Astyanax mexicanus: one gene and its partner. The protein of the gene in region 2 binds, or shares a complex with, the protein of the main gene of each other region. Links are inferred from orthologs where the notes say so. Each region holds a gene or a part of one and is shown on either strand. Other genes may lie near its edges.

Region 1 (15,956 bases), on a different chromosome or scaffold from region 2:
ATACCAGGTTAGATGTAACGCTAACAGCTTGACAGAGTAAGTTAAAGCTATGATGCTAACATACACTGCAGTCGCCCTTGGCGTGCTTGAAGTGTGTTAGCTGCAATGCTTAATGCTTTTCTGAGCTGGATTACTTGCTTATAATTGATTACATTCAATGCCTTAGTTAAGTAGGGTAAGTCCTGTTGTTTACTGTATGTCTATCATGTCTGTACATTGATCTGGTCTTTAGTTAAGAAGCTCAAAACACTTGCATGTAGCTACTAGCTCAAAGCAGACCTCAGGCAGGTTCTGAGTGATTTAAAATTCCCAAAAATAAAGTTATGCATCACAGTATACGTTGATATCAACTTATTTTCCAGCCCTGGTGAGCTGTATATACTTTACCTGTAGGGCCTGCTGTAACAGCTGAACATCTGTGGTGCCCGTTACTTCCCGTAGTTGATTCAGTAATGTCTGTTGGTGCTGGGAAAAGAAGAAATGAGACGTACACATTAGAGTTACAGTCTGGATTTGATTACAGAGCTCTGGTCACGAGAGGATCTCAATGAAATGCCTCAAGTCAGAGTCTTATTTTCTTCCTCCCAAGGAAAGGCCAAAACCACAATCTGACCACAATATGGTCAAGTGACCTTAACAGAACTGCACAGCTTTCTCACAGATCATGTACAAAAACAGGCTCGATGATGTCCATATGGAGGGCGGCTGCTTCCAGAAAGCAAATCCTTGTGGCTACAGAGTTCCTAGAGAGTTCCACCAGCAAACCCACTCAGTGAAAGTGCTCTAAATCACCAGTTCCCTGCCACTGAGCAGTGTTTGGGAGAGAAGCAGTTGCCCAGAGACACAGGAGTAGAGAAAACAGTGTCCACACCTTTTTGCAAAGATGGAGCAATAAATAATGCAGCCGCCCTTTCTCCGTGTCGTGTTTGTGCAGGGAACAGCTCTTTGTATAATAATCTGAAAAACAATATAGAGTGCCAAGAACACCGGAATGCAGTCAAAAATCAGATTCAGGGCACTCCTCCCCAGAATGGAATCTACGGTTACTCTACAGTGTGAATCACTAACCAACCAAATCCATCATAATTATGTTGATGCCAGGATATTACCCAGTGGTTTCCTCTTGGGGCAATGGGCAACCAAGAGAGGTTTAATGCATCACTGGATAGTTCATTAAAAATGTATCAAAATTGACATTCAGGATCTCTTAACCAACATAATTTTAACAAACTTACTTACTTTTTTTTATTGTATTTTTACTTTCCTCACTGTGTGTGTTCATTTATGTTTTCTTAAAACATACTGTCATACACTTGCTAGAGCCAATGAATGCCAGATTGCCCATTTAAAATAACTAATACATTTTTATACTGTAAACTTAGCCAATAGAAAGTAATGGAAAGTAATGTCAGTGTAAATTTAGCCAACATACTGCATGAAAAAAAAATCACCCATATAACAAATTATGATTAGGACACCCTTAGTAAAACAAAATCTGCCCTACTTAGACAACCATCTGACTTTGCTGAACATTGTCTTTGAGCTTTGTTATACAATGAAAGCATCCACCTCGCTGACAGGTTTAAGGAGAGGCTGTCAAGACTGACAGACAGGTTGTCAGGTCAGCTCTTTTCTACACACAGGTCTGTCAGGTAGATTTGTGTTCTCCTGGATCTCCTGCAGAGAAACAGTGTACACTGTTGGGTTTCTTGCTCCAGCACTCGTAGCTCAAGACCTTAAAAGCTTCATATGGTGAGAAGAAGGAGCTCATGTGTCAGAAAAGGTCATACCGAACCATTCACTCTCAAATGTGTCAAAACAGACAACTATACTCCCTAAAACAATACAAAACAATGTGTGTAAAACCTCTGCACAAAATCTGAAATAAATACTGTAAACCAAAATTATTCTGACACCAATTCTAGATAGTAAAAGCTTTACATTTATAATTTTCACAAGAAGCAAATTTAAACAGATTTAAACCATGTCTGTTCACTCAAACCACTTCAAAAGGTGATCTAAGACAAGTCTATATAGACTGTATCCCGATTAGATTTCAACCAAATGCATTTACTCTTGGTACTCAAATGTGTCTCACTCTAGCGTGAAATCTGATTGCTGTGTGGGACAAAGTATGCAAATGTACTTCTCGTATGACAATTATAACTGGCATATTAGTTGTACAGGAAGGAGAGTTGCTTGTTAAATGTGCCATGTATAGACAGATATGTTTACACTGCTATAATATGTGTCATAATATACCTCCTGAAGTGGTTTCAGTGATTGTATTTGTATGTTTTAAACGCGTATTGGGTGTGTTTACACTGGTATTTGTATGTGGTTTGGCCTTATTCAGAAATAATCCAGATATTCAAGGTGCATGAAGTTATCTATACTTTTTTTTGCAGTTGTCTACAAAACATATGGTCATATGTTGTGATTATTTCACTATGAAGGTCCTCACATATCTGCACTCTCACAGTTTAGGTAAGTCGGTTCCTAGATCTTGCACTCAGTTGTTTAGGTTGTTGTGCAACTACACATCATCACTGCTCTCATAACTCCACTACTCAGCAGCAGTGTCAAATAACACCATTAGCTAATCGCTACTCAAATCATCTGTGCACCAAACTCCTTTACTGACAGACAGCCAACCACCATGAACCCGGTTGAGATAGAACCAATATATTTCACAACTGTGAAATCTGACCCAAGCAATCTGAAAACAGTCAGACTGTTTAGGATCAAAACATATCATACTGATGTCCTAAAGAGTTCTCTAAAAATGAATATAATGACATGAAATAAGAACTAGTATCATGTCTCATGACTTTTGCCATGCCCCAGCACCTGTGTGTTGGGCCTTCTTCATTAAATTCCAGCCAGACACCACAATCATTAACACTTCATGCTCAATTTATCTATTTCTGCCTGTTGACTTCTGGCATATAACTGTATAACTAATATTTAGCTACTATGGCTTTTACTAAGTCCAGTGTTCTGCCTCTTTTTAGTAACAAAGACTAAATACAACACTAAAATTATATATTTAATTTTTTGGCATGAGGTTGAGAGATGAGAGATGTAAAAATGTCTGATGTAAAAAATGTCTGATGTAAAATGCTCCATTTAAGAGAAATTTACTGAGTCAGGAGTTTTCACAGTGGCTGTGTCTGAAGCATTAAATGCCTCTAAAAGCTCTCTAACGGAAAGCTATTACATAAAATGCTTATGAATACACTGCCGGACATACACTACCTTAATATACTGAAACAATCTAATGAGCAAAGATATTTTGTTGTGCTGCAACAAAATAATGCTATAATGATATTCCTGGCAATTTGACAAAAACACATTATTAACTTCAAAAATATACTACTACTTCTAATACTTTTATTTAGTATAAATAATATAGAAATGATAAAGAGTTTCATACATTCAGTCAATTTTGTAAACAGTAAACAGTAACTAATAAAGACCCTGATTCACTGCATGTCCTGTGATTAATCACCAATGACTAATAAGCATGTGTGCACTACGAAGATGATGCTGAAACAATATATATATATATATATATATATATATATATATATATATATATATATATATATATATATATATATATATATATATATATATATATACACATATACACAGCTCTGGAAAAAATTAAGAGACCAAAATTAAGTTTTTAAATCAGTTTCTCTGCTTTTGCTATTTATAGGTTTATGTTTGAGTAAAATTAACATTGTTGTTTTATTCTATAAACTACAGACAACATTTCTCCCAAATTCCAAATAAAAGTATTGTCAATCAATATTTCAATATCAATATTTGGTGAAATAATCCTGGTTTTTGATCACAGTTTTTATGCATCTTGGCATGTTCTTCTCCACCAGTCTTACATGCTGCTTTTGGATAACTTCATGTCACTCCTTCAACTTGATTTGATGGCTGTGATGATCTATTTTTCTTTTGATTATATTTCAGAGGTTTTCAATTTGGTCAAATCAAAGAAACTCATCATTTTTAAGTGGTCTCTTTTTTCCAGAGCTGTATATTGTGCAGCCTTACTGTTTTAAGCCCTGAGACACTTTATATAAATAAAACATTCTAGGCCTAAAACATTGTATTAGATTGTATTGTATTGTATTTATTCTTTGGATTTTCCACCATGTTAAAAACACTGAGGTGTTGTGTCGGCGGTTATGGACAGTGATTCATATGGCTGGATTTGTGTTTTAGGCATCTTAACCACTGCAATATCAGAGGAATTCTTCTCTAAAAATGTTACAACACATATATTCAACATTAGATAAAGGTACACATCAAACGTGTAGATTTTAGCTGTGTTTTAAGCCAGATTATCAACATCCAAAGTCGTGTAAACATGGCATGTCTGCTCACTTCATAATAACTAGAGTTCAAATGATACTGATACAGGCTGGACCACAGCCAGACCTGAAATCAGACAGCCTGGGGTTTAGCTGTATCCTATCTGTAGCTGTGACTCTGCTTGTGGTATGAACACAGTTTAAAAGCTTAGACTGTGTGCTTTTAGAGTTGAATATATGGTCTAAAATAGTAAAACACAATACAGAACACACTAGCTCTTCACCAGTCAATTTCACTGCGGATTTATTCACATTATCAGGCAGGTTTAGCTCCAGGTTTAGCATAAGCTACTCCTAGCACAGTCTCTCTCACACTACAGTTAAACTAAGCCAGGTTTAGCTTGCTAGTTAGCGTTAGCCTGGTGCTACCTGGCATGTTAAGTACAATATGGTGTAATTAAACCAGACATAACACTATAATGTTACATACCTGTAACTACATCAGTTAACTAAGTTAATATCATAATTATACAGAACGGGCTGCAGGTTATCCAGACCCAGCGCGCTGAACTCGTTTCTAGGCGTGTCACGCAGCTATGTCAACATTAGCATGCTGGCTAGCCCGCTAGCGAACTTTCCAATCTCTGTTATTCCACCTAAAAGAGCCGTTCAGCCGCGTTTATCAACTTTAATCGGGTAAACAAGAGTGAACCTGTCCGCTGAATGCTGTAAGAACACAGGGAGAGGAGTGTAAGTTTTGGTGAGGCACAAAACACTAAGCTTAGCTTATCTTAGCTAACTTTCCCAAAACTGCGATGAATGAATCGTTCATTTGAACCGAGTCGATCGAGTGAATCAGTGGCACCGATTCACGAGTCAAACTCAGTTGAAACAGAAGTGCTGCTGTTGCTACTACTACTACTACTACTACTAATAATAATAATAATAATAATAATAATAACAATAATAATGTTCATATTACCAAAAAAACTACCATAATGAAAGTGAATAATAATGCTATTAAAGTAGTAGTAATAATAATAATAATAATAATAATAATAATAATAATAATCATAAATTATTATTATTATTATTATTATTATTATTATTATTATTATTATTATTATTATTATTATATTGTTTAAACATCATAAAAATTATCTTATTTTGAAGTCATAAAGTTTTGAGATTCTTTATTTACTGTGGGTCTACTTGGACGATCCTTCTGTGACAAAAGTATCTAAACTAATGACAACAAACATGGTTCTACTGTGAGAACCCACACTCACCAATACATATACTATTTCTGTAGTTATATAACATACTGCTACAGTCTAAATATACTGTTATATATTCCTATAATTTGACTATTGTATCCTACTGCTACAGATTAAAAATACTATACACTTCTTATTAGTTTAGAATCCAGCTCTATAGATAAAATATTTTACATACTAAGGCTGCACAATATTGAGGACACGATACATTGGAATTGTTCTTTTGCAATACCTACTGTGATATGAAAACCTATCACAACAAAGAAATACACCGTCCTTGTTTTGAAATGTCAAGATTGGTATAAAACGAATTAAATTGCGAAGACATATTCTGCCACAGGTAGATATATTATACAGTTCTTATGAAAAATAAGAACAGTGCAGATCTTCCTATTATATCAAACTGCGAAAGGTTTTCTTTTTTTTTTTTTAACTAAATGTGACTGCACATGCTGAATTGTGCACATTGATGTATTGGACAGCCCTACTGTATACTACTTAAACACATTCAATATAACCAATATAGATAAATGTGTGTACATCAGTTACATACATTGCTGTATTATAAAAATTAATACACTAACTGTTATATGAACTACACTTTTCATTCTGTTAATCTGTATATATTATAAATAAACAAAATACACTACAGCTACAGCCTTGTTAAAGCTATTATTGTTAATCTTGTATTTGCTACTGGGAGCAAATAAATAACTTAAATTGAACTGGTTTTAAACATATTCATCTCATGTAATTAAGCACTGACTATATTACTACTCTACTACACTTCTACTAAATCATGTGGCAGACTGAAGTGGATTCGGTCCATTTAAACGGACAGTCCTACTGAATCGGCTCCCTCAACTGAATCGAACTCCAGCACAACAAACTGGCGCAGAGCAAAAACATTAGCTTAGCCTAGCCTAGCCTAGCTTAGCTTAGCCTTACCTTCTGGGAATGCTGCTGGAGGACATTCTGCTCCACGGTCATGGCTTGAAACGGACAGGAGGGTTTGAAATGAACTGAACTCAGGAATAAAGCGCGTATCCGAGCGAGCCGAGCCGGCGGGGCTGAGGTGCGGGTTACCGGAGCGGAGTTCAGGCGGAGCCCCCGCTGGAGAGCGCAGCCACGGGCTCCATCAGCGCACACTGCTCCATTAGTGCTGTCTGCCGGAGCGCCGCCAGCTCAGACAGCAATAACCGAAACTGAAACCTAGCGCTGCCCTGAACCAGCTCAGCACTTATTCTCACTGAGTTCTGCTTTATTTCACTTAACCTGCGTTTATCTGCGAGATATAATAACTTAAATTTTAGTGTTCTTATTTAAATTCATTTTTTATCAGGATAAAATAAATAAATTTGGTGAATAAAATGATTAGATTATTTTTTTTGTATGTTAGTATATTGTGTGTTCGTAGGTTTCACATAATAATAAAAGGAAACTGAAAGCTGGAAGCACAGAAAAAATATATAAGAAACGTCATAACATTCCCAAAACATTAGTCAATGCTTGTATGGTGTTCCTAGTATTAAGTGTTCAGTACTACAGCTTCACAATATTAGAGATCCCACCTGTCACTGAAGTTCAGGCTGTCTCCCGTGTATTAAAGAGTCACTAAATCCTAAACTATATTTTTTCCATTGAAATCTGAAATGTGTTTCTTTGAAGTAATGAAACATACTAGTCCTGTTTAAACTTTTAGAAACATTTCCTAAATAAAAAATAAAAAAAACTTTATTGTGGTCATCGCCGCCTCTGCAGGGCCTTATCAGTTTTAACTCTGCTAAACCCATACATCACCCAGTGCCCCTCCCAAACTACCCCTCCCATTTTTTTGTTTGCATTTTTCAAATTGGAGTTGAGAGTGGAGTCAGCTAAAAACAGGGGGTTTAGTGTCCCTTTAAAGTGTCCCTTTAATAGGGGCTCCCTGAGGCCCGCAAATGACTAGATATACAATATCCAGTAAAACAAATTTTTAGAGCGAGAGAGAAAGACAGAAAAAGAGAGAGAGAGACAGGGAGAGAGGGAGAGAGGTGCAGGTGAGTAACAAAGGGCAAGAGAGAAAGACACATTTCTCCTCCTTTTGTACACTGTCACCATGCCATGATCAAGGCTCAGGCTGTATCCTCCAGTTCGTTGTGGATCACTGGTGTTCAGAAACGAAGAACAGAAACTTAACTGACCCAGAAATAAACACAGCAGAGAAATATAAATAAAAAGAGAAAGTTGGGAGTCTGGTTTGGTACGGATGGCCTTCTGGGCTTTTACTAAATGAGCAGGATTATAAAATAATTCATTCACATTTTATTCATTCAGTCTCAATTATCCAATGGAGAAAAAAAAAGATCAGTTTCTCTCCAAGTAAAAATAACTGGAGTGTTGAAATGAGGAGCTAAAGTTCAGTTATAAATCTGATTAACATGATTTAGCACCAGCAACTCCATATGGAGTTGATCAGCCAAGATATGTTTGGTATCTGATGAGAGTTATTTAGTTCACAGTAGGAGATGATTGGCTTACACTGCCTGGCATCTGGATTTATCACTGGATTAAAACTGTCACCAATTTTATCTCTGCAAATAAACACCCCAAAACACTTCATTTATTCACTTAGACTCTATTAAAACAATTACAAACAACTTTTTAGCCCTGTAAAGAAGTTTATAAAAAGCAGCTCAGTTGTGCAGTGATGTTCTAAATCACCATGGTTCTTCCGTGTTCTGAGAAAGAGGTTGTGAGAAATGTTTGGGCGTGTGTTTATAAAGATGAGACTGGTGATAGTCCAGTGTTTGTTTCACACAAGATAGAGAAGCACACACACCTTTATTATATTATATAAACTTTTATCTACAATTTTGTTATTTTTTTCACTTTTTGAAACAATGTAAATGTGGCAGTTGATCGTACTATTGTGTTCAAATTTTGTATACAAAATAGAAATGTTCCAAAATATTCTGGAATAAAATTTTACACTGATTACCTTCACTCAACACACACAGTGGTTGAAGCAGAGAAAAACTGATAGTTCTGTAAAAAGGGGCTTTGGTGCTGTGGTGGGCGGCAGTCAGAGGTGGTCTCCCTGCCTCTGCAGAGCTGTACTGTGACCTTCTGCGTGGGCGGGGGGTCACATTATCCACTATTATAAGAGAGAGGGTGGGGGTGTTTCAGAGAGCATGTAAACTACATGTAAAGAAGTTCATTTAGAGGTCAACGCCATGCTAATTACCTAACAATGTCATTTTTTTACACGTGTGTAAAGAGCATTGCAGTAAAAGTGTGTGTGTATAAAGTTTGCTGTGCTGCATTAAAGAGCCACGAAACCCTAAACTATATATATATTTCCAAAAATAGCTGAAATATGTTCCTTTGAAGTTTTGAAACTTACCAGTCCTGCGTAAAATTTTTATAAACAGTTTTAAAAACGCTTTTATTTGGGAAATTTCGCCAACGCAGCACCCTCACAGGTTCAACTATGCTATAGACGCGGATGACGTGTCTGTGTACTTTGGTACGCAGACATATCACTATATGCAGATCAGTCAATCAATAATACCACCCCCAGCTCACTCAATGAGCTCTCCCTCCTACCCTACTCTAAACCCATACATCACCCAGTGCCCCGCCCAAACTACGCCTGTCAGCAAAAATCAGGGGCTTTTAGTGGCCCTTTAAACTGTACTGGAATGCAAGGCAGCCTACGTATATATCTTGATTTGTCTTGATTGATGTATCTATCAGATCTATGTATCTATCCATCCATCTATACATCCATCCATATGCCATTTCTAAAAAACTGAAATACATTATTGTTCGTTAAAAAAAGAGTGAGATTCACTCAAAATCCAAGTCACAGATCTGACCAATATTAATAAGGATATTTTCCCCAGCAGAGGGCACCACTCATTTTTTATTCTTATCATCCTTCATTACAAAACAGAATTCAGAACATTACTCAACCCATTTGAACTAGTTGTACTTAAAATTCCATGGTGAAAATGTTAAGGTAATTAATAAAATATATATTTTTTATTTGTGTTTATGTATTTGTGTTATTTTTATTTAATTTAAGAAAAATATAGATTAGAAAGTAAGATTTAGTAATAAAATGCTACCGAGAGAACAGCATAGCACACAGCCAACACAGAGTTAGCAGCTCAGAAGCCTGGTGGGAATGACTACACACAATGTTAATGTATAGCTCTGGGAAAAAAAAGATGAGTTTCTTTGATTTTACCAAATTAAAAACCTCTGGAATATAATCTATGTATCTATGTCTAATATAAGAGGAAGATGGATGATCACAAGCCATCACACCAAGCTGAACTGCTTACATTTTTTTGCACCAGGAGTAAAGACATAAAGTTATCCAAAAGCAGTGTGTAAGACTGGTGGAGGAGAACATGGCAAGATGCAAGAAAACTGAGTTAAAAACCAGGGTTATTCCACCCAATATTGATTTCTAAACTTTAAGAAAGTTTATGAATATGAACTTGTTTTCTTTGCATTTTTTGAGGTCTGAAAGCTCTGAATCTTTTTTGTTATTTCAGCAATTTCTCATTTTCTGATAATAAATGTTCTAAATGACAATGATTTTATTTGGAATTTGGGAGAAATGTTGTCTGTAGTTTATAGAATAAAAAAACAATGTTCATTTTACTCAAATATTTATCTATAAATAGCAAAATCTGAGAAGCTGATTCAGAAACTAAAGTGGGCTCTTGATTTTTCCCAGAGGTGTATATGTGGCCACAACTCAAAATAGTTGAGTAACATTTGGAAATATCCAGTTTTACATAAAACAAGCTTAATTTATTTGAGTTTAAACTAATTGTGAGTTTAAACAGTGTGCAGACTGAGTGGAGTGGACGGACGGTACAGCAGGTGGCAGTAGTGCACAACAGTTCCTCAGAGCACAGCATTGCATAACCCTGTTATTTGTAAGCCGCAATATAGGATACATGTAAGACCATATTGTTTGTAAGTAAGGTCATGTCCTCTGAGGCTCCAGCGAAGCTTCCACTGGCGCAGAGCTAAGCAGTGACCTTTTTCCTCCTTCTGTTGTGTGAAGCGCATTCGATTACAATAGACTTTTCTATTAAATACATGAATCAGATTGGCCATGATTTATTGATGCCTGTTTTTCATTTATCCAGATTGAACGGCGCTGCGTAGAGCGGCTCTGTTCAGATAAGCAGAGTGATGCAACTTCAGCCTGCAGAGCATCAAGGTCACCTTCAGACTGTCATCTGGAGTAATGATTATAACACATTTTACTGAATCTTCTGATGACTTTAGGTGGTCTGTGTCTCAGCTCGGTGTGGATTTCTGAAAGGCCTTGGACAGAACATCAAAGAGATTATATGCAAATGTAATGCATGTAGATATAGCTTTATGTAAATATGCATAAAATCTAAAAGTAAATTAGACATCTAAGAAAATAAAAGTGAATTTACTAATGAAACAGTTGTGATTGCAGTGTGTGTGTGAGAGAGAGTGTGTTGGTGCGTTAACCATTTCCAGTGTTTTCCTGGAGGAAGGCCAGGCATTCCCACTTCCGATACATCACCTACTTTATCTAAATCATTAAAGTAAATCAAGTGCATAGGAACCAGGGGGAATATCAGAACTAGGTGGATTTGTCCCCCCAAATAAAATATACCGCAGAAAATTAAACTTTTATTTTGAAAGCGTGCCAAACTCTGCACCTCGCAGTGAAAATCACCCCTCTCGGAAGCATGTTTCTATTAAAGTTAGCTAAACCAATTATCTCCGCTTTTATCAAGAAGACATGGGTGCACGCTCCCGAGAGGGGGTGCTTTTCCTGGCGGGGTGCAGATTTTGGCACAACACCGGCTTTTACATGCGAGGTCAGTGATGAGAGCAATGAATGGAAACCATGCCAACCATGGTCCTGACCAGGAACAAGTGGATATAGATAGATGACAAAGGAGCATTACAACAAGTGAAGGATTTCACGCTCAGACATCTTCATTGCAACATGGTTCTTTATGGAACCAAATTGTTTTTTCTATAGCCTCGCTCAAAGAATCCTTTGTAGCACCTTCATTTTTTAAACTAGACTCGTCCTGCATTATTTCTAATCAGAATAAACTCTAGACATGTGGTAGATTTCTTCAGAATCCAACTACCCACTCATCCGTTCATATTGAAGGCTTTCACCACTGAAGCGCAGAAAGCATTTTGAAAATGTCACACCGCTCGACAGCTGCGCGACAAACGGACTCATAACGATGCGCAACAAAAGGAATTGTGTCTGCGGCCGCAGTGGAAAGGCTTACCTCTGCCTGAACGCCTGTTTAACTCCAGCGTGCCTCTATCTTCATTTAGATGTGAGCGCGCACAGAGTATTGATTTTATGACTGCAGAAAGAATGAACCAGTCTAAGCTAGATGGATTTGGATAAAGGACACTGTTATTTATTCACCGGGTCTTGCCACAAGAACCGCCTGACATGGAATAGTGAGTGGAACTGCAGCCTTTGGGTCTTCTTACCAGGGAGGGGGGCTGGAGCGGATGACCCGAGCCTGTGGACGGCCAATGTCAGTCCCTTTGGCAAAATGAGCCGGCGATGTCAAAACAACTGAATCATTATGGCTATTTTGCAGAGCGAAACCGTCCGTCTGAGAAGTATCGGAGCTGCTGAACCACCCCATAACGTCTCCTCCGGCACTGCCGACATATATCTTAACTGTTCCGCTAAAGGTTACCTAAGGGTCAGTCTGATGTATTGGGCTGTGTGGAAAGTCTACTAACTCTTACCTTTGGGAGTAGAAATGAATCTCGGCGAGCCCACAGCACAAATATGTTTGGCGTGGCCCCTGCGTGACCTTCCGTCTCCGAAGCCACGAAGTTCTAATCTCGAGCCGGTTCCTCCACGAGATTGGTTGACACCGAGCCACCCTTTCACATTTGAGTGTGGTTTGTGGAACTGTTTACTCTGGGAGTGCGTGACCCGTGCTCAGGGGTGGTCATGCACGGAAGGACTTATTCAAAGCTCCAAAAGATCACCCTATCAAACGCGCTGGAGATGGTGGCAGATTGAGCGGAAACATGATACTAGTTCCTGGCCCATGCTACGGAAACATGATACTAGTTCCTGGCCCATGCTAAGATAATCGGGCTGGTTTTTGAGATTATATAATGTAGATAATTGCATATAGTATATGTTCTTTAAACTTTGTAAAAGTTTAAAAGTTTTTTGTCTTCACACAAACTTCTTTAGAAAGCACGATGAATTAATTTTTGGCAATCAGCACAAGCAGATTCTCTTATTATACTCAGCAACCGAGGTGTTGGCACAAGTGGCAGTCCTGATTCAGTTATAATAATTAGCAATAATCAGCTTGCTGGCACAAGCGACTTCTTGTGGGCTGATTCTCATATGATACTCAACAATTGAAGTGTTAACACAAGAAGCGTGGGACGATTGTTAAATTATACTTGGTAACCAGGGTTTTAGCACAAGTTGCACTGGCCAGTCCCCATATTATGCTCACCAACTGGAGAATTGGCAGAGGCGGCTCAGGCCGATTCACGCATTTTACTCAACAACCAAGGTGTTGGCACAAGCGGAGCAGCCTGATTCTCGTAGTATAGTTTGCAATCAGGGTGCTTGCAGAAGCAACTCAAGCCAATTCCCATAGTATACTTGGCAACCGGTGCTTTGGTACAAGTTTCTGGGGACAATTTCACACTGTATACTCTGCAACTGGGGTGTTGGCAAAAGTGGTGTGGTTTAATCGGGTGCTTGCAGAAGCAACTTAAGCCAATTCCCATAGTATACTTGGCAACCAGTGTGTTGTCACAAGCTTCAGGGGACAATTTCACATGGTATACTCTTCAACTGGGATGTTGGCAAAAGTGGTGTGGTTCAATCAGGTTGCTTGCAGAAGCAACTCAAGCCAATTCCCATAGTATACTTGGCAACCGATGCGTTGGTACAAGCTTCTGGAGACAATTTCACATGGTATACTCTGCAACTAGGGTGTTGGCAAAAGTGGTGTGGTTTAATCAGGTTGCTTGCAGAAGCAACTCGGGCCAATTTCTATAGTATTTGGCAACCGGTGTGTTGGTACAAACTTCTGGGGGCAATTTCACGTGGTAAACTCTGCAACTGGGGTGTTGACACAAGTGGTGTGGACAAAAACTCCTGTATCATGCTCTGAATTGGACCTAAATTTAAACAGGATCCAGATCAAACTCCCCACACTGCAGTGAGTCAGTTAGCGAAAATCATTCACGCCATTTTTAGGCAAAAAACACATGCTGATTCTGATTTTAATTGGCCAAAGTGAATTTTGCTGTCTGAGAGTAGTGTAGGGAGCTTTATGGCTAACAAAGATTAAAACCAGAAAAATCTGGGGTCTCCCATGTTTTCAAAATCAGATTACTTGCATGTATTAATAGATTTTGTTTTTTTTCTCCCCATCCCAAACAACAAACCTCATTGTGAAGCCATTAAAGGTCCCAATTATAGAGTTACGCTTGATTTCGGGGCGAGGAATGCATGGCTTATCGACGTTCCTTTCATTGCCATTATTTATCTTTGCCTGACCCAATTTCCAACGCAAATGAAAAAGTCTGAGCGTGAATCAATTTGAAGCTCTTTAACTAATCATCCAAGACATGAGGTTAACACACTCTCCGCCTGCCTTCCAGAGCGGGGGTCCGCCGAGCCCACGCCGCTGAAGACCCTGCAGTGTTAATGGAAAAGGAAGGTAGATTAGCGCTGTCTGCCGTGGTATTGAAGGAGGGCCTGCTGGGACGCAGGGTGGGCATACAGCTGCACGCATCACCTCCGGCTTGGAGACGAGATGCACATAGAGGCAAAGGTTGTGACCCCTGAGACTCAGTCAGGAGCTTCAAGAATCCCACCTTCAGCAGGGGTCAGGGGGGAAACCTGTGCACACTTTAAATCTGAGAAGGTTGAAATTGGAAACTACAAATATTGATTCCTTACAGAACCACACAGAAGAGCTTTGGACATATGTAAGATTCTACACCAATTTTAAACAAAATTGATTAATACAGCTCTGGAAAAAATACATTTCTGAATCAGTTTCTCTGATTTTGCTATTTATAGGTTTATGTTTCAGTAAAGTGAACAGTGTTTTTTTTTAAATATTGTCATTTAGAGCATTTATTTGCAGAAAATGAGAAATGGCTTTCAGACCTCAAATAATGCAAAGAAAACAAGTTCATAGTCATAAAGTTTTAAGAGTTCAGAAATCAATATTTGGTGGAATAACCCTGGTTTTTAATCACAGTTTTCATGCATCCTGGCATATTCTCTTCCACCAGTCTTACACACTGCTTTTGGATAACGTTATGCCTTTACTCCTGGTGCAAAAATTCAAGCAGTTCAGCTTGGTGTGATGGCTTGTGATCATCCCATCTTCTTCTTGATCACATTCCAGATGCTTTCAATTTGGTAAAAAAAAAAAAAACTTATAATTTTGAGAACCACACTGTGAGAAGGTATTGATGGTCCCTGTATGATATTGAAGTGTTTAATAAAGTTTGTTAAAGGTCCAAATGTAATGGATCTTCCTAGACATTTATATAAAGGTTTATAAAAGCTCTAGGTTTTAGTAATTAGTACACAACTGGGACGCACCCTTAAGAGAAAGTTCCTGTTTTTAATACAGTGTCGTCTGAGGGCCCAAAGATCACCAGCATCCATTACTGACCGTCAGCCTTGTTCTTTACACACAGAGATTCCAGAAACCAGATTCTCTGTATCTCTTTGTTGATGGGCTGTAGATGGTAGGAGGTCAGTGTAATATTTAGCAGTTTAATTTTCTGACCTGATCAAGCTAAATTTAAAATTATAAAATAAGGTATAAAACTTAATAATTATTATTTTTTTCCATTCAGTATAGAGAAGAAGAAATGTGTTTTTATCCATTTTTTTCACAAACAGAATTTTAAGAAAATTTAAAAATAGTATCTTGATTTGTCCATATTTAAGGAACCATCCACAAAAGTCCTCTTTTTTTTTTACACAGAATGGATCTTAAAGGTTCTTGCACAGAATGTTCCCAAATTAACCATTTACAACACCTTTACTTTTATGAGCTGAAGTTTGTTTTGTTCTCGACACTCGCTCGTGATGGCAATCACACCAACCAGCCATAAAATGCAATTACACTCCTTCCTGTGTGTGTTTTCTGAACAGAAGCTGAGGACCTCAGTGAGGCGAGGTTAAACATTGACCCGGCCAGGCGTGCTTAAACTCCAGCGCACCAGCGCCGCGACTCGCAGTGACCTGAGATTGTCGCTCCGAAACCTTCGCTCTTCGCCAGCCTTTATTTCAGCAGCAAGC
Region 2 (16,273 bases):
TAAACTGCTGTAGGCTGAAAGGGTGGAGCTAAACTGCTGTAGGCTGAATGGATGGAGCTAATCTGCTTGATTTTATACACTTATACATAACAGCGAGTCAAAAAGTGTTATAATTGCTGGGCTTTTCTTTTAAGAAGAGTCTGAACATTTCACATTATTATTTAACAACAGATCTGGACGCAGTGCTCAGACATGCACTGGTATGTAGGTCAGCAGCACACACCCCCCTCACACACACCCCCAAGTACAGTATGAAGAACTGTGTGTGTGTGTTTAGTGCTGGAGGCTCACAGACACAGTGTAATAAACCCCTCACACACTCCATCAGCACTTCCTCTTCTACACACACTGATTATATGATGGACTGTAGTTTTTTTTGTAGATTTACATCTGATTTCCATTCTGTTTGAACAGAGTTGAGTTATAAATCCTTACATAACGAGTTATAGCACCTCTTTCACTAACACACACTGCTGTGCTTTGTGCATTGAGTTTAAAATCTGCTTTTTTCCACAGTACTACTACAATACTATATATATACTTTCAAATAAACTATGTATGTGTGTGTGAGTGTGTTCTGACTCTTTCCTGTACTCTGCAGATTGAGGGATCACGTGAAAGACAAGAAAAAACTGCCCATCCTGATTTTCCCCGAGGGTATGAGCCGTAATGATGAAAACACTCCTCCATACACTCCTCCATACACTTCATACTGTACACTCCATACTGTACACTCCGTACTGTACATGATCCATCACACACTTACTGTCTGATCAGTTCTAGAGCGTTTATATTTATTAATATTGGTCCATTCATCAATATATTCTGATACAGTATAAAGAATTCTTAGCTGTCTAAAAGTCAAGGTTTTTGCATGACAGCATTAGCATACAGCCAAATTAACTTTAATTTCAGCACACAGTTCTATTAAATCAGATAAATGATCTTCAGGATTTTGGTTTAATTTCCACATACACTATTAAATAACACAAACTACATAAACCACATGAACCACACACAGACCGCAGTAACTACAGGAAGCACTCTCTGGCGGTTCCTCACGCTGCTCTGCTACTGTTTCTCTACAGGAACCTGCATCAACAACACATCCGTTATGATGTTCAAGAAGGGAAGTTTTGAAATCGGTGGCACCATTTACCCCGTCGCTATAAAGGTACGAAACCTCCGCCCGTCACACCACTTCACACTGCGGTGGAGCAATCAAAGATTGTGTTAGAGATTAAACAAGAAGTGTAAATCTCAGACCTCACAATGATTTTTACAATATATATTTGGAAACTCAGTAATGATCAGCTCCACTCAAATTTTACATCACCAAACATAAAAATGAAAGCAAGCAAATACTTTTGACAATAGTGTTTCATAACCTATATTTTATACTTTTTTTTTTTGGTTGTGATAAAAAAAAGTAAATTAATCATGATTTATCAAAGAATCGTTTTTAGTAAAGGGTATTTAAATGGAATTAAAGGAAGACGTGCGAGCAGCTTTGTGTGTATATATGCATCAACCCGTGTGTGAGAGAGAAAGAGATTTAATCTGTATATCAGATGTATATAAATAAAAAGTAGACTAAACACCACTAAAATGCTAATAACATCATCAGACTCTGTGAATTACAGAAGAGTAAATTACAGAAGGAAGCTGTGACCAAACTTGGTCACATGATTCTTTTGCATTAAAAACATTAACGTAATGTTTATAGATTAATCACATGTTAACGCATTTATATATTTAGAAAAGGTGCTGATTTCTTTATTCCTAAATTGGGGCAGAAAATTCTATTTTAATGATGATTGAACTGTATATCAAAATATTTTGTTTTATGTTGTATATGGAAAGAAATACAGTACAAAAAAATGTGTGTGTGTGTTTGTTCTGCAGTACGACCCTCAGTTTGGGGATGCGTTCTGGAACAGTGCGAAGTATAACATGGTGAGTTACCTGCTGAGGATGATGACCAGCTGGGCCATCGTCTGTAACGTCTGGTACCTCCCGCCCGTGACCCAACAGGTGAGGAACACAGAATAGTTTAGTTCAGTAAACATTTAGGCTCAGTCTTCTGGAGAGGGATTAAGAAATATCCTAAACTTAATTTTCCTTTCAGTGGAAAATCTATATTGCTGGTTCTAATCCCAATCATGCAGATTACCATCAGCTGTCGGAGCCCCGAGAGAGCACAGTTGTCCTTGTTCTCTCTCTGGGTGGGTACAATACAGTAGATGGCGCTCTCTCTTTCCCCTCATCACTCCTAGGGTGATGTGGATCAGCACAAGGCTGCGTCTGTGAGCTGATGTATCAGAACCGAGTCGCTGCGCTTTCCTCCGAGCGTTAGCGCTGTGATGCTACTCGGCAATCCTACGGCATCAGCAGCAGTTATTATAGAGGCGGAGTTAGCAGGATGCTAATTGCTGTACACACGTTTCCAATACTGACAGTATTAGCCTGGTAGCTCCAGTGTTAAAGTAAAGAAATACACTTCAGGTACTGATCTCCTGGCTGTCTCTGCTGGATCTGTGTGATTCAGACGTTCTGCTGCAGTCTGGGTTTAATCAGAGTCCTGAACCCAGCTCTGTTACGCATTTGGTTACGCAGTGCTTTGTGGCTTTGCTGACTCATTTCCTGTGTGTACAGGAAGGAGAAGATGCAGTGCAGTTTGCCAACAGGGTGAAGTCTGCTATCGCACATCAGGGGGGGCTGCTGGACCTGGCCTGGTGAGCAGCGTTCTACACTTCATATCATATTCATAAAATAGTGAAAGACAATATAATATTATAATATACATTATAATTGTGTGTGTGTGTGTGTGTGTAGGGACGGTGGTCTGAAGAGAGCTAAGGTGAAGGAAACTTACAAACAAGAGCAGCAGAAGAAGTACAGCAGCATGGTGGTTGGAGACGATAGCAGCGAATGACCCGCCAATCACAGTACTGTGATTCTCCAAACCCACCAATGACAGAGAGACTCTAATCCCACCAATCAGAGACATACAAGACTCTTAACCTGCCAATTACAGACACCCAATTCTCCAAACTCCCCCATTACAAATCACCTGAATTTTATATTGACCAATTACAGACATCACAGACCTCCAAGACTCCAAATGCTCCAATAATAGACTTCCAAGACTCCAAATCCATCAACCACCTCTAAAACATCAACCCCACCAATTACAGACCTCCAAAACATCAACCCCACCAATCACAGGCCTTCAAGACACCAACCCCACTAATTACAGACATCCAAGGCTCCAAACCCACTAATTACAGACCTCTGAGACATCAATATCAACTCTCCAATTTCAGACCTCAGAAATATCCACTTCACCAAATACAGACCTCCGCGACATTAACACCAACAACCACAGACCTTCAAGACAACAACCCCACCAGTCACAGACCTCCAAGACTCTTAAACTGAATTTTATATTGACCAATTACAGACATCCCAGCCCTCCATGACTCCAAATGTAGCAATTGTAGACATCCAAGACTCCAAACCCACCAATCACAGACCACTGAAACATCAAACCACAGAGCTTCTAGATATCAACCCACCAATTACAGACCTCCAAAATGTCAACAACAACCACAAACTTCCAAGACACAACCTATTACATAACTTTGAAATACCAACTTCACCATTAGAGACTCAACCCCACCAACCTCAACCTCAACCAGTCATCAACCAATTACTGACTTCCAAGAGCCCAAACCCACCACACCCCAATTTCATCAAACACAAAACCTTCAACCTCACCAGCTACAGACCAGCAACTGACCCCACCAATCACAGACTCCAACCCAGAGGAGATTTCTCCACAGTGACCTCAGGTCCAGAGCCAAGGAGGTTCTGAGCCTCAGATTATTCCTCAGCTGCCTGTATCAGTCTGTCTGTATGTCTGTCTGTAGTGAGGGGATTTATTGGGGTCTGTATCTGATGCCTCCTGAGGAACCAACTCTCTGACCGTCGTCCCCCATCTCAGGTCTCAGCTCTAATGGAATATAATAATAATATATTATTGTTTACGTGGAAATCACTCTGTCCTGCTCTTCGTTTTGCTAATTGCTAAAGCTGGTGATGTTCTGATGTGGGAGAAAGTGAAAAGGTTGCACTGATTTATTTTTTTTTGATGACAGAAAATGTTTTTAGATGGTGCCAAATGCAGATATGTGATGATTATTTTTCCTCAATAAAGGAATTTCAGACAAATAAACCCCTCCCTTCCTTCAGTTCAGTCTACAATAGAAGTCTGGTAAAAATCATCACTGTGCAATGAAAAACAAGCATCTCCATTTTTGACCATTTTTAGTTTACTATACAAACTGTCCCTTACACTGTGCCCAAATTTCTTAATGAACGGACCAATAGAAACTCTTCAAAATTACCTTAATTAGTTTTGAGAGTTTTTTCTCTCTCCTATAAAGTTGCTGTTTTGGAGATACTTATTTTTCATATATATAAACAGAGTGGTCTGGTAGGTTTGCTGGATGTTATTGCTATATATGCAGAAAGCATTATGTCAGTATTTCATAAATAAATAAAATGATCAGAACAATATTATACTCAAAAACAAAGACTTTCACACAGTAATTTATTTACATTAACCTGCATTAAAAGAACTCTTCAGCGTGCTCTCTGCAATTACACACTCTCACCAGAGAGGGCTCCAAATCCCCTAATCCACAAAACTTACAGACTGTCGCTAATAAAATAAAAGATTTTTATTGAAAAATAACCATATAATTTGCAAATATGCAAGTAAAATGCTTTAATCACAAAAAAATAGAAAATAATAAAAGACTATTATTAATACAAGCTTGTGTACATGTGTGTGTTGAACGGGAAGTACACACATTTTAAACATTTTAATTTTTGCATTATAAATTGTTAATGGTAACTCTTTAGGAGTGATTTGGTGTCAAATTCTATTAAACATTTTGAAAAGACTTTGGGTCTAAATTTTTGGCTTAAAAAAGTAACCAAAGAAAATGTGCATTAGTTTAGATGTCCCACCATATCATCTTCATCGCCATCATTATTATACCATATAAACTCAGAATCAGTGGTGGGTTTGAAAAGTAAATAAAATATCTATATTTCTACTATAAAGTATAATTATTTGACATTAAAACTACAGTTTTAATAATAATTTTACACACTGAATAATACAGAGAATTTTCAACATTTGGTGGAATTTCACTTTAAAATAAATAATGTTTTGTGGGTGTCAAAGGGTTCTCAGCAGGTCAGGGTAAAACACACAGCCTGTGTGTGTTTATGAGTGTGTGTATATGTGTGTGTTTATTAGCCTGTGTGTGTTTTTGTGTGTTTTTGTGTGTTTTATGGCACCATTTGTCTCGTTTACTTCCTCCAAGAGAAAAAGACACACAGGGCAGAAGCTATTTGTATCAGAAAGTTCAGTAGCTTTATTACTTTTCATATATTCATTTTTATTTCTCATCAGTATAAAGTATATTTAAAGTAAATACACTACAGAGAACACCTCATACTGCAGCACCAAATCAAAACCACAACAACAGCGCCCTCTAGTGTTCAGAGCTGGAGCTGCAGTGTTTAAACTGTACTGCAGAGAATCTTTAACACACTGTAAACGGAAAAGTTTATCATTATGTGAAATGGAAGCTTAAGAGTGGAAGAGTTGTGTGTAAACAGTATTTTATATATATTTTAATCTGATTTTTGTGCTACTAGCACTGCACTACATCTCCTCAAACTGCTGCTGCTTCTAAAACACTACCACTGCACCTCAACACGCTTGGAGGAGAACACTAACTTACTCTGGTGGGTTTTATGTGTAACAGAGAGAGAAAAATTTAAGTTTTGTATGAATATATTTATATATATATTGAGCCTGCCAACACATCTCCAGTCCACAGAAGTTTACTTGCAAGCTCTTAAATACTGTATACAGTAATTCATTATTATCCACTGCAACTGCTAACACTGCTAATAATACTAACCTGAGATAATGCTGAAAATAATGACCTAGTAAATAATTAGAAAATTATTGAAAATGTTAACGATTAAAACTAGTTAGTGTAAAAGACCTGATTCCCAGCTCCAACATCCAAATCCTGAGGTAAATGGAATGCAGCTAATTTTATGGTAAATGAGGCACAATGCAATAAGTAGCCAATCAGAACAATCAGAGGTTATTTACATTTATTAGTCTTAAAGACACTGAAATAAAAAATAAAAGTCTAATTATACCTAGAGATCAGAAGATAAAAAAGAAACTATAAAAAGTATCATAACTCTTTATATATTAATAAAAATATTATTTATTTTACCCATTTATCTGTTTATTTAGACGTTAGCTTACAAACAGAAAGCAGTTTATAAATACAGAGTTAGAATACTGAAGAAGATCAGTGTTAGGATATACGGCACATGCCATCTCCAACACCACACCTTAACATCATCAACTCCATTATGTCCAGGTATCCACCTGAGAGGTAGGTGTGTGTGAGTGTGTGTGTGTGCGTGTGCACTACAGTACAGTGCACGTGGATGACTTTTTGGAGGGTGGATGTTCCAGCTGTCCGTCGTTTACTCCTTCTTCATCATTACTGAACTTATCCTTCTGCACACCTGAACACACACACACACACACACACACATTGCTCGTACAAATGTATAACTCAAAAGGTCAGACAGTGCAGTGTAGCTAACAAGATATATAATCAACATGCTTCTTACTGTCTGTTTCAAACTTTAAATAAATTATATACATGAACTTACATGATTTTAGACAACAAGATTCTCTACAACTTCTATCTGTGCACATTATTCCATGCTGTTTGGATACACAAACTACTGTATAATGCTAACCTAGGGTGCTAACTGATGACAATGCTAAAAACTGTGCACCGTGCAGCTTTATTTAGGGTGTGTCAGTGTGTCTTTGCTATCGTAACGATGGGAAAAGTACGCACTGGTTCTCTTAATTAATCATGGATGTGGTTAATTTTGGCTGTAAAGTTCCAGAACACCACGCCCGTCAGTGTAGATATATTCAGAAGCTCTGCTGCTGTTTAAACCAGGCAGAAGGAAGGAGTGAAAATAGACTGTTGGTGGGGTGTAAGATAGCAATGAGCATCATTAGATTTAGTGCATAACATGCCTTGGCTGAATAACTAAAGAGGGGGTCTTCAGTTTAATACTATAAACAGTTGTTTACATGCTAAGACGTTTAATATTTTAAGTTTATCTGTAAAAACAATTACAAAACCGTGTCACAGCAGCTTTTCAGAAGCCTGATTTTCCCTCTTTTATAAATAACCATTTGCTTTATTGCAAAAAGCAGCAAAAACAACCTCATCATTTGACCATGTGCCTGAGGTAACCTCTGACCTCACAGTGATCAGTATAACTCACCCTGCTGACCCTCAGAGCGAACGTCTTCTTTACCTCCAGCTGCAGCAGATCTACATTCAGCCTGTGGAGCAGAACACACACAGTAAACCTCACACATCCATCTGGTTCATTATAAAGCTGCCATTTGTTCTGATTCTTCCAGCAGATGGAGGAAGATCTGCACCTCTAAAGCTTTCTCCAGCAGCGTCCTCTTCTCCACAGAGAGAGTTCCAAAATACCTGCAGAAAACAACACACACATCATCACAACCTACACACTTTACCTTAGTCTAATTAAACAGGATTTATTACAGCTTCTGTAATAAAATGTGCAGCAGGTCAGTGTTCTTTAAATAAAGATGATATCCAGGATATGTTCAGAAAAGTATATTTTGTATTCTGTTGACACAACTATTAATGATGCAATACAATAATACAGTTCACCCTTATTTCAGCTTGTCCAGAAATGTGTGTGCAGAGCAAATTCTGAAATTCCGCTATCTGACTGTAGGGGGAGCCCAGGAGCTAGAAATGGCAGTTCAAACATAATGCTGCTTTAAATTAATCCATATACCGGTAACTAATATATACAGCTCTGAAAAAATTAAGAGAGCACTGATTTTGTTATTTATAGGTTTATGTTTGAGTAAAATGAACATTGTTGTTTTATTATATAAACTACAGACAACAGTTCTCCCAAATTCCAAGGTTACCAAGATGCAGAGCTTTCAGACCTCAAATAATGCAAAAATAAAAAGAAAACAAGTTCATATTGATAAATATTTAGGAGTTTAGAAATCAACATTTGGTGAAATAACCCTGTTTTTTAAAATAACACAGTTTTCATCTTGGCATGTTCTTCTCCACCAGTCTTACACACTGCTTTTGGATAATGTTATGCCACTCCTGGTGCAAAAATTCAAACAGCTTGGTTTAAAGTTTTTTAATTTGGTAAAATCAAAGAAACTCATCTTTTTTATGTGGGCTCTTATTTTTATTCCAGAGCTGTATATTTTACTAGTCTAGACATTTCAGATAATCCATTTTTAATGATTATGCTTATCCAACAAGTTCTAATCCGTCAGATTCTGGTAATAATGTTTTGCTTGTTAAAATAATCCTGCTGATTAATATATTATATATCTAATATTCTAATCCACATTGTTAGCTCATTTGTGAATGACTGTTTATCTTTATTTCTTAAATAATTCTTCATGAATAAGACTTTGAACAGCAGCATTTCTGAACTAAATTGTTTTTAGGAATGTAGAGTTAGAGCTTCATTTCATTTTCAGACTGTATTCACTATAAATGTATTTTCTGATTATAGATAATAGAATAAACAGCAGCAGATCTGGGGCCTGTATATAATTGACACACAGATCTAAACCCAGTAAACACATGAGTTTATCTACAGATACTCACATCTTCAGATAAGAGCCCTGGCTCCTGTTCCCAGTGCTCATCCTCCCAGCAGCTCCAGAGGAGGTGGGCATTCTGCACCTGCATTCCAGCAGCCCAGTAAACACAGGCCCAGTTCAGTCCCAGTCCCCCCAGCAGTGTGGATTCTGGTCCAGGTCCAGCATTGCTGTGCTGCAGCAGCACTACTAAGGGTCCCGTGGGTCGCGTGCTGCTGCTGATCCGGGGCCAGCCGGCTGTTTGTTGTTGTCTCCATGGCAACACAGGGCACTATTGTTCACTTCCATCCCTCTCACCATTAGCAAACATCAGCAGAAACTAACTGGTTCTGACAGACCTGTAGAGTTCTGAAACTCTGGGTCACAAACACGGACCAGCGCCGGGTCTTGAAATCCAATACTGCTGCTGTACCCAATTACTGAATTACAATACTGCTGAGTATTTAACTACACTGTAATTCAGTATCAGATTTCAGTGTGTAAAGAGGCTGTACTGTCTTAGACTCTGTTAGCATGCTGTTAATATCAATGCTTCTTCATTAAACCGAAATCTAACTGAAAACTGAAGTCATAACTTCTGCTTTTATTATGTAATTTATTGATGATTTATTGATTTTTATATAAAAATCTGCAATTATACAAATCCAAATCTGGGAATTTGGGAATCAAAATGAATTCAAGGTATTGATATTGCAAGGTGAATATATTTGTACAATTAGCAGAATATCACAAAAAAAATGACAGTAAAACATTACTTCACTAAATTAGACTGGTGAATCAGCACAGTGTAACATACACAGCACAGCTAAAACAGAGCAGTCTGATTAACACAACACAGTTAAAACAGCACTTTTAGTACTGAGCACAGATATAGTACTGAGGAAATCGGACTCTGCTGTTTTAGCTGTGCTGTTTTAACTGTGCTGTGTTAATCAGATTGTACTGTTTAGCTGTGCTGTGTTAATCAGGCTGTGCTGCTGTTTTAGCTGTGCTGCGTAATTCAGACTGTACTGCTGTTTTAGCTGTGCAAATCTGACTGTACTGTTTTAGCTGTGAGGTGTAAATAAGACTGTGCTGTTTTAGCTGTGTTGTGTAAATCAGATTGTGCTGTTTTAACTGTGTTGTGTAAATCAGATTGTGCTGTTTTAGCTTTGCTGTGTTATTCAGACTGTGCAGCTGTTTTAGCTTTGCTGAGTAAATCAGATTGTACTTTTTTAGCTTTGCTGTGTAATTCAGCCTGTGCTGTTTTAGCTGTGTTATTCTGCTGTTTTATGGTAATATCTGTATCAGCTGATCGTGCAGAGACTCTCGGCGGAAGCCCGCCTCTCCCTGAGCGGAAGTGTGTGTGTTGCTGTGTTGTTGACAGAGTGTGTGTGTGTGTGTGTGTATCTGGGTATAGTGTGAGGGAGACTGTACGGGGTTTTGTATGTAACGGCTGGGTGTAATGGCGGTGTCCCGGCGCTCGTCTCAGCACCACGGCGGCGGGCTCCAGTCCCCCCCGCGGCTCTCCGCCGTCTCCTCGCCGCCCCTGGACTCTCCTCAGGCGGACACGGCCGCGCTGAGCCCCGCGGAGGCCTCTCCGGAGCGGCCGGGCAGCAGCGGAGCCTGCAGCTCGGCCAGCGGGGCCGCAGGCAGCGCCAGCCCGTCCTCAGCGGCCCCCAGCCCGGGCCAGGACAGCGGCGCCTTCCGGGAGCTGTTCGAGGCCTGCAGGAACGGGGACGTGTCCCGGGTGAAGCGGTTGGTGGACGCGGCGAACGTGAACGCGAAGGACATGGCGGGGAGGAAGTCCACCCCGCTGCACTTCGCCGCAGGTCGGTCGGGGAATCTGTGGAATCACTGCGCTGCTGGGCTTCGGGTTGTTTTCCAGCTTCTGTTGGAATTCTCCGTTCCACCTTAAATTCTGCTGCAGTTACATTATGTTCCCACAGGCAGCAGAACGGAACAGCTGTACTAGTTAAGGTGGAACGGAGAATTCCCAAACGAAGCCTACGTTAGCGTTTTATCGGAATTTAACTTTAATTTAACCGATTAATACACATCTATGGGTTATCAATAGCTGCATTGCGATCAATAACAATGTTAAAAGGCGAGATGTGGTACAGATTTAACCTCTAAACATGCCGAATAAACGATAATGGTCACGAAGTAGATTAGCCAAGAGCTAACTAGCCTAGCCTAGCCTAGCTAAACAGCTAATAACCCCCAGGAGCTGTAATAGGCGAGCAGCGAGCAGTGTGTGTGTGTGTGTATGTGTATATATATATATATATATATATATATATATATATATATATATGCACAGATATAACTGATCGAACAGTGTGATTGGTCAGTGAATTGTACGAGCGGATGCTGTGATGATTGATAAAAATTGCATGAACAGTTATTATTGATCAACGGGTTTGATTGGTAGCAGATATTATATGGTTATTGATTTGTGTAATAGACTGTTGTGATCAATTAACCCTAACTCAAGTAGTACAGCATAAGGCTTTGAATACTTTGATTAATACATTGATCATCTTTAAGTGATTGGTAAACATGTCTAAATCTAAAATTATTAATCTTGTTAGTATTATTATTTTTAATCAAATGATACATTTTGCAAGCATCAACTATTTGGGAAATTTAAACTATTGATCAAAATCTATTGATTAAATGCAGTGAGGGGTAAAGAGGTATTATTTACTAAATGTTATTATTGGTAACCAGCAATTCAGTAAAGCATAATTGGAAAACAGATATTATGATTATTAACTGATGAGTTAATTAATAAAAATTATAGTAAGCCCATTTTTATTTTAAATGTTATTTGTAAACACTAATTATTGATCTAGGCTGTCATTAGCAAACATCCAATTTTGATAAGATGCTGCTCTTGGTGAAAATAAACAGCCGTCATCAATAAGTAATACAGCATGAGGCTTTAATTACTTTGATTGATACATTGATCATCTTTAATTACGTGATGTCTATGTCTAAAAATCTTCTAACATTCTTGATCAGATGATGTAATTTATGAACATTATGCCTCAATCAAAGGTTGTGATTGGTAAGCCGATGAGGAAACGCTTTTGTTTTGACCATTGGAACTAATGGTCAAAACCCATTTGATTTAAAAGCAGAAAAAGGTAAACAGGCACTAAATGTCATTATTGGTAATGAGCAGTTGATAGGAAAATAGCTATTATGATTATTGATCACATGTTAAGATTGGTGAATAGCTGTAATTGGTCAAAATTATAGTATATATCTTGTGCTGTCATTAGCAAACAACAAATATTAATAAAATGCTGTGATTGTGGAACATCTGTTATTGATTAAAAGATGCGTACAGAACCTTCTGCATTGAAGTTCTTTAGTAGATCCGTTCCTAATATCTGCAGTCTGGTATAAAGTGTGTTTATGGAGTGTCTCTGACAGCAGTGTAAATAAACGGATTGGCAGTGGAGGGATTAATATAGCCGACGCCTGATTCTTTAAAATAGACCTGGATCAGCTGTGATGCGGATCTGCTGGAACGGTTCTGGGCGTGTGATCGTATATTACAGTCAGTGCTGCTGCTTCAGCCTCAGAGAGGTTCTGCTGGTGTTCTGGGTGTGTTTGGTTCTGCAGGGTCGGGTTTTGATGTGGTTCTGTTGTTTGGTCTCTGCAGGTTTTGGCAGGAAGGACGTGGTGGAGCATCTCCTGCAGACTGGAGCTAACGTTCACTCCCGGGATGACGGTGGGCTGATCCCGCTCCATAACGCCTGCTCCTTCGGGCACGCCGAGGTGGTCAGCCTGCTGCTGTGCCAGGGGGCGGATCCCAACGCCCGCGACAACTGGAACTACACGCCTCTGCACGAGGCCGCCATCAAGGGCAAGATCGACGTCTGCATCGGTGAGCAGATCAGCACCGTCACGCATCTGTATCTGATATTTAAATTACATCATATTAAAGAGGAGATCCGCCCTCAATATCTGCGGGTTTCCACGTTCTCTTAGCATGTCTCAGAAATGGTCATTAAAGGTCAAATTATTCTATAGAGTCAAATCTATGGGCTGTCTAGGATTAGGCAATGTATCAAGAAATATTTGCAAATAAAAATATTCACATTTAGAGCATTTATTTACAGAAAATGAGAAATAACTGAAATAACAAAACAGATGCAGAACTTTCAGACCTCAAATAATGCAAAGAAAACAAGTTCATATTCAGTTTTAAGAGTTCAGAAATAATCAGTATTTGGTGGAATAACCCTGGTTTTTAATCACAGTTTTTTTCATGCATCTTGGCATCATGTTCTCCTCCACCAGTCTTACACACTGCTCTTGGATATCTTTATGCTGCTTTACTCCTGGTGCAAAAATTCAAGCAGTTCAGGTTTTCAATTTGGTAAAATGAAGGAAAAACATCATCAAGTGGTCCCTTATTTTTTCAGAGCGGTATATACACACATACACACACACACACCACTGTTATATACAGAGTGGTGCTGTTGATGCACTGTGGAGAGGGATGATCCCTCATCAGTAACAGTAACGATGGGAAACCTTAGCGGTAAACACACACACACACAGAAGCATCGTGTGTGTGTTTCAGACTCGTGCTGAATGCCTCTGTGCTTACACACTGCTGAGGCAGCATGCTGAGTGTGTGTGATAGAAAGTGACAGCATCACTGGGATGTGTGTGTGTGAGAGAGAGAGTGGCTATAGTCAGGTTCACTCTTGCCTGAGTGTGTTTAATCGTGTGTGTGTGTGTAGTGTGCGTGTAGTAATGGTGTTAATGTCAGGTCTCATAAGAATTCAGTTCGATTTCGATTCATTGAATCATGAAATCGCTAGTTTCTCCTCAGTTGAGTTGAGTGATGGTGAATACATATATAACTGTGTATATAAGTAGAGAAGCTGTGTGCACTGGGTGGTGGTGGAGGTTCAGTTTGGTCTGCAGCAGTGTTTGCTGGTTTGTGTGGTTAGTGGTGTTTGTTAGCTCTGTTGAATTGCTGTGCTAATAGCTACTCACTGTATGGGCTGAGTGAAGCACTCTGCGGAGGGGTATATGTTAGTGGGGTTAAACTGTTTATTCTCTTGCCTTTATGAGACGCTCTACTTTTACACATTCTGCAAATTAAAATGAAAGAGCCGAGCCTGAGTGGATGCAGCAGTGCTCTGGCTGTGTAGGGGTGGAACAAGGAACTGCAGCTTCCTGTAAACTGCAGTGAACCTTAACAGCTTTAAGGATATACTACGTTAGGGAAATATTGATTGATTGTGTATTTTAGCTTAAAATGAGCAAATACTGATACATAGCCTATACAATATATACAGAACAGTAAATTGAACTTAGGAGTAAATAAAAAATAATAAACTGTAATAAATAACCACTCATTATTACAGTGTAATTAAGACATTTGCAACCATAGCTTACAAAACACTCCTCATTTTCTAATGCACAGAATTCTGAATTGTGGATATTGACTCAAAATATATGCAATCAGATTAATTAGTGCGATATGTGAATTTAATAAAACATACAGAATCTAATCTTTAATTTTTTGTGATTATTGTAAATTGTAAAAGTGTTTTTTTTCCTACATCAGAAGCTGGAAATGCAGAACATATTGGAAAATGTGTATATCTGTGTATATTTAATTTAAAAATCTATATTCTATGCATGTGCTTTCAGTGCTGCTCCAGCACGGTGCGGATCCCAACATCAGAAACACAGACGGCAAATCAGCTCTGGATCTCGCAGACCCCTCCGCCAAGACCGTCCTCACCGGTACACACACACACACACCTCACTGAGTAGTGCCTTTGTTATGTAACCCCCCACTGTTCTGATCAGTGTGTTCTTCTGTCCACAGGGGAATATAAGAAGGACGAGCTGCTGGAGGCAGCGAGGTGAGTGTGTGTGTGTGTGTATGTGTGTGTGTGTGTCAGCAGCCACACCCCCCCACACCCACCCCTCCCTCCGTTGCTAAGGGAGTGTGCTACAACAGAATGAGGAGGATACCCATTACCTCCGTATCTTTACAGCTCCTTCAGATTTACACTGGAGCTACGATGCTAATGCTAGGTATCACTATAGTGACGATATCACAATACTGTGATCACAAGACAATTCTCTACGATACTTCACAGCATCTGTGTTGCTAAAGAGGATAAAATACTCCTCAGTGCAACATATTATAGTGCACACTATCAATGAACGCCTATTGGTCTATTTTCATACATAAGGCACACCGGATTATAAGGTGCATTTTAAGTGACAATAGTAAGGAACATGGGTGTCGCACAGTAATCTACACAGAAAACTGATTGTTTGGGTGAGTAAAGCGCTTCCGTTTATGTACATTAAGCTATCAGCTAGCAGTTTGCCCCACGTACCTCGTTTTATACTCACCTCTGAATGGCAAAAAATCAAGTGCTGTAATAAGCGGCTAATGCTAACACTGAACACTGCCCCAGCCTTAGTGCTGGAGAAACTTCACTGAAACTCCTGTATAATGCTGCACTTTAGGGGGGAGGGGGCGTGGCTTAGGGAGTATTGATAATGTATCACAAACGAAAATTATATGATATTTTGCAATATTTTGTCCCACCCCTGCCCCTACTAAAAGTAATGGAAGCTTATGTGCAGCAATTATACCTCAAATTGACTGATCATCAAACACGTCCTACTGGACTAACAAGCACTCAATGAGCCCAGTGAATCTACAGCATGACCTAATGTAAATAAATATATATGTATAAATGTGTGTTTGTGTGTGTGTGTGTGTGTGTTCTTTCAGGAGTGGGAATGAGGATAAGCTGATGGCTCTGCTGACTCCACTCAATGTCAACTGTCACGCCAGCGATGGACGCAAGGTAGCTCATACACACCTGCACACACTTCACACACACACTCACACACTGCATTATATCCTGTGATGCACTATAATTCGATCATATATATTTTTTTGTCTGAAACCTAACAATAAGAAACTTTTTTCTGAAGTCTGAATACAAAATACCTTACATTGCATTCACAGATTTTCTTAATAAATTGAGTTAGGCATAAATTCAATTATTATTGTATAATATATAAATTATTATTGTAAATTACTTTTGGATTTTCTTTGTCTTATTATTTTTTTTTTAAGAAAATGTCATTGTTTGGTTCAAATTTCTGTCTTTTTACTTATCCGGTAACATATATCTACTTATATATATATATATATATATATATATATATATATATATATATATATATATATATATATATATATATATATATATATATATACAGGTGCTGGTCAACGAATTAGAATAATTTGAAATAGTGCAATCATGAAATTCCTTGAATGCATTTTTTGTGCAGAAAGCAAGGACAGGTTCACCGCACCTGTCCTACTCGTTAGACTAATCACAGAACTCGTTACCTGGAAAAAAAATTTGCTCGGCTGAGCTTTCCAAAAGGCCCATTTAGGCC

The links.
Region 1: the proteins of tnksb (region 2) and usp25 are in contact, whole or in part, in a crystal structure (PDB 5GP7), measured with the Homo sapiens proteins. The link is inferred for Astyanax mexicanus from reciprocal best matches to the Homo sapiens genes TNKS and USP25. Residues at the interface, in NP_003738.2 of Homo sapiens: Arg836, Ser838, His842, Leu843, Gly846, Tyr847, Leu871, Asn876, Ser879, Tyr880, His882, Asp900, Trp902, Phe904, Glu909, Gln912, Lys913, Gln934, Glu935; in NP_037528.3 of Homo sapiens: Ser1046, Ser1048, Arg1049, Thr1050, Pro1051, Ala1052, Asp1053, Gly1054, Arg1055.

What each region holds. Positions count from the first base shown.
Region 1 is NC_064427.1:6,131,304-6,147,259, forward strand, and holds the start of usp25 (ubiquitin carboxyl-terminal hydrolase 25), read right to left. Parts: upstream 6,782-15,956; 5' UTR 6,602-6,781; coding exon 6,560-6,601; intron 466-6,559; coding exon 388-465; intron 1-387. UniProt on the Homo sapiens protein: Deubiquitinating enzyme that hydrolyzes ubiquitin moieties conjugated to substrates and thus, functions in various biological processes including inflammation and immune response.
Region 2 is NC_064429.1:11,654,425-11,670,697, reverse strand, and holds the start of tnksb (tankyrase, TRF1-interacting ankyrin-related ADP-ribose polymerase b), read left to right. Parts: upstream 1-10,175; 5' UTR 10,176-10,262; coding exon 10,263-10,629; intron 10,630-12,473; coding exon 12,474-12,698; intron 12,699-14,485; coding exon 14,486-14,581; intron 14,582-14,666; coding exon 14,667-14,703; intron 14,704-15,593; coding exon 15,594-15,669; intron 15,670-16,273. Other genes in the region: agpat9l (glycerol-3-phosphate acyltransferase 3-like), read left to right, coding at 602-657, 1,089-1,174, 1,906-2,034, 2,656-2,735, 2,836-2,935.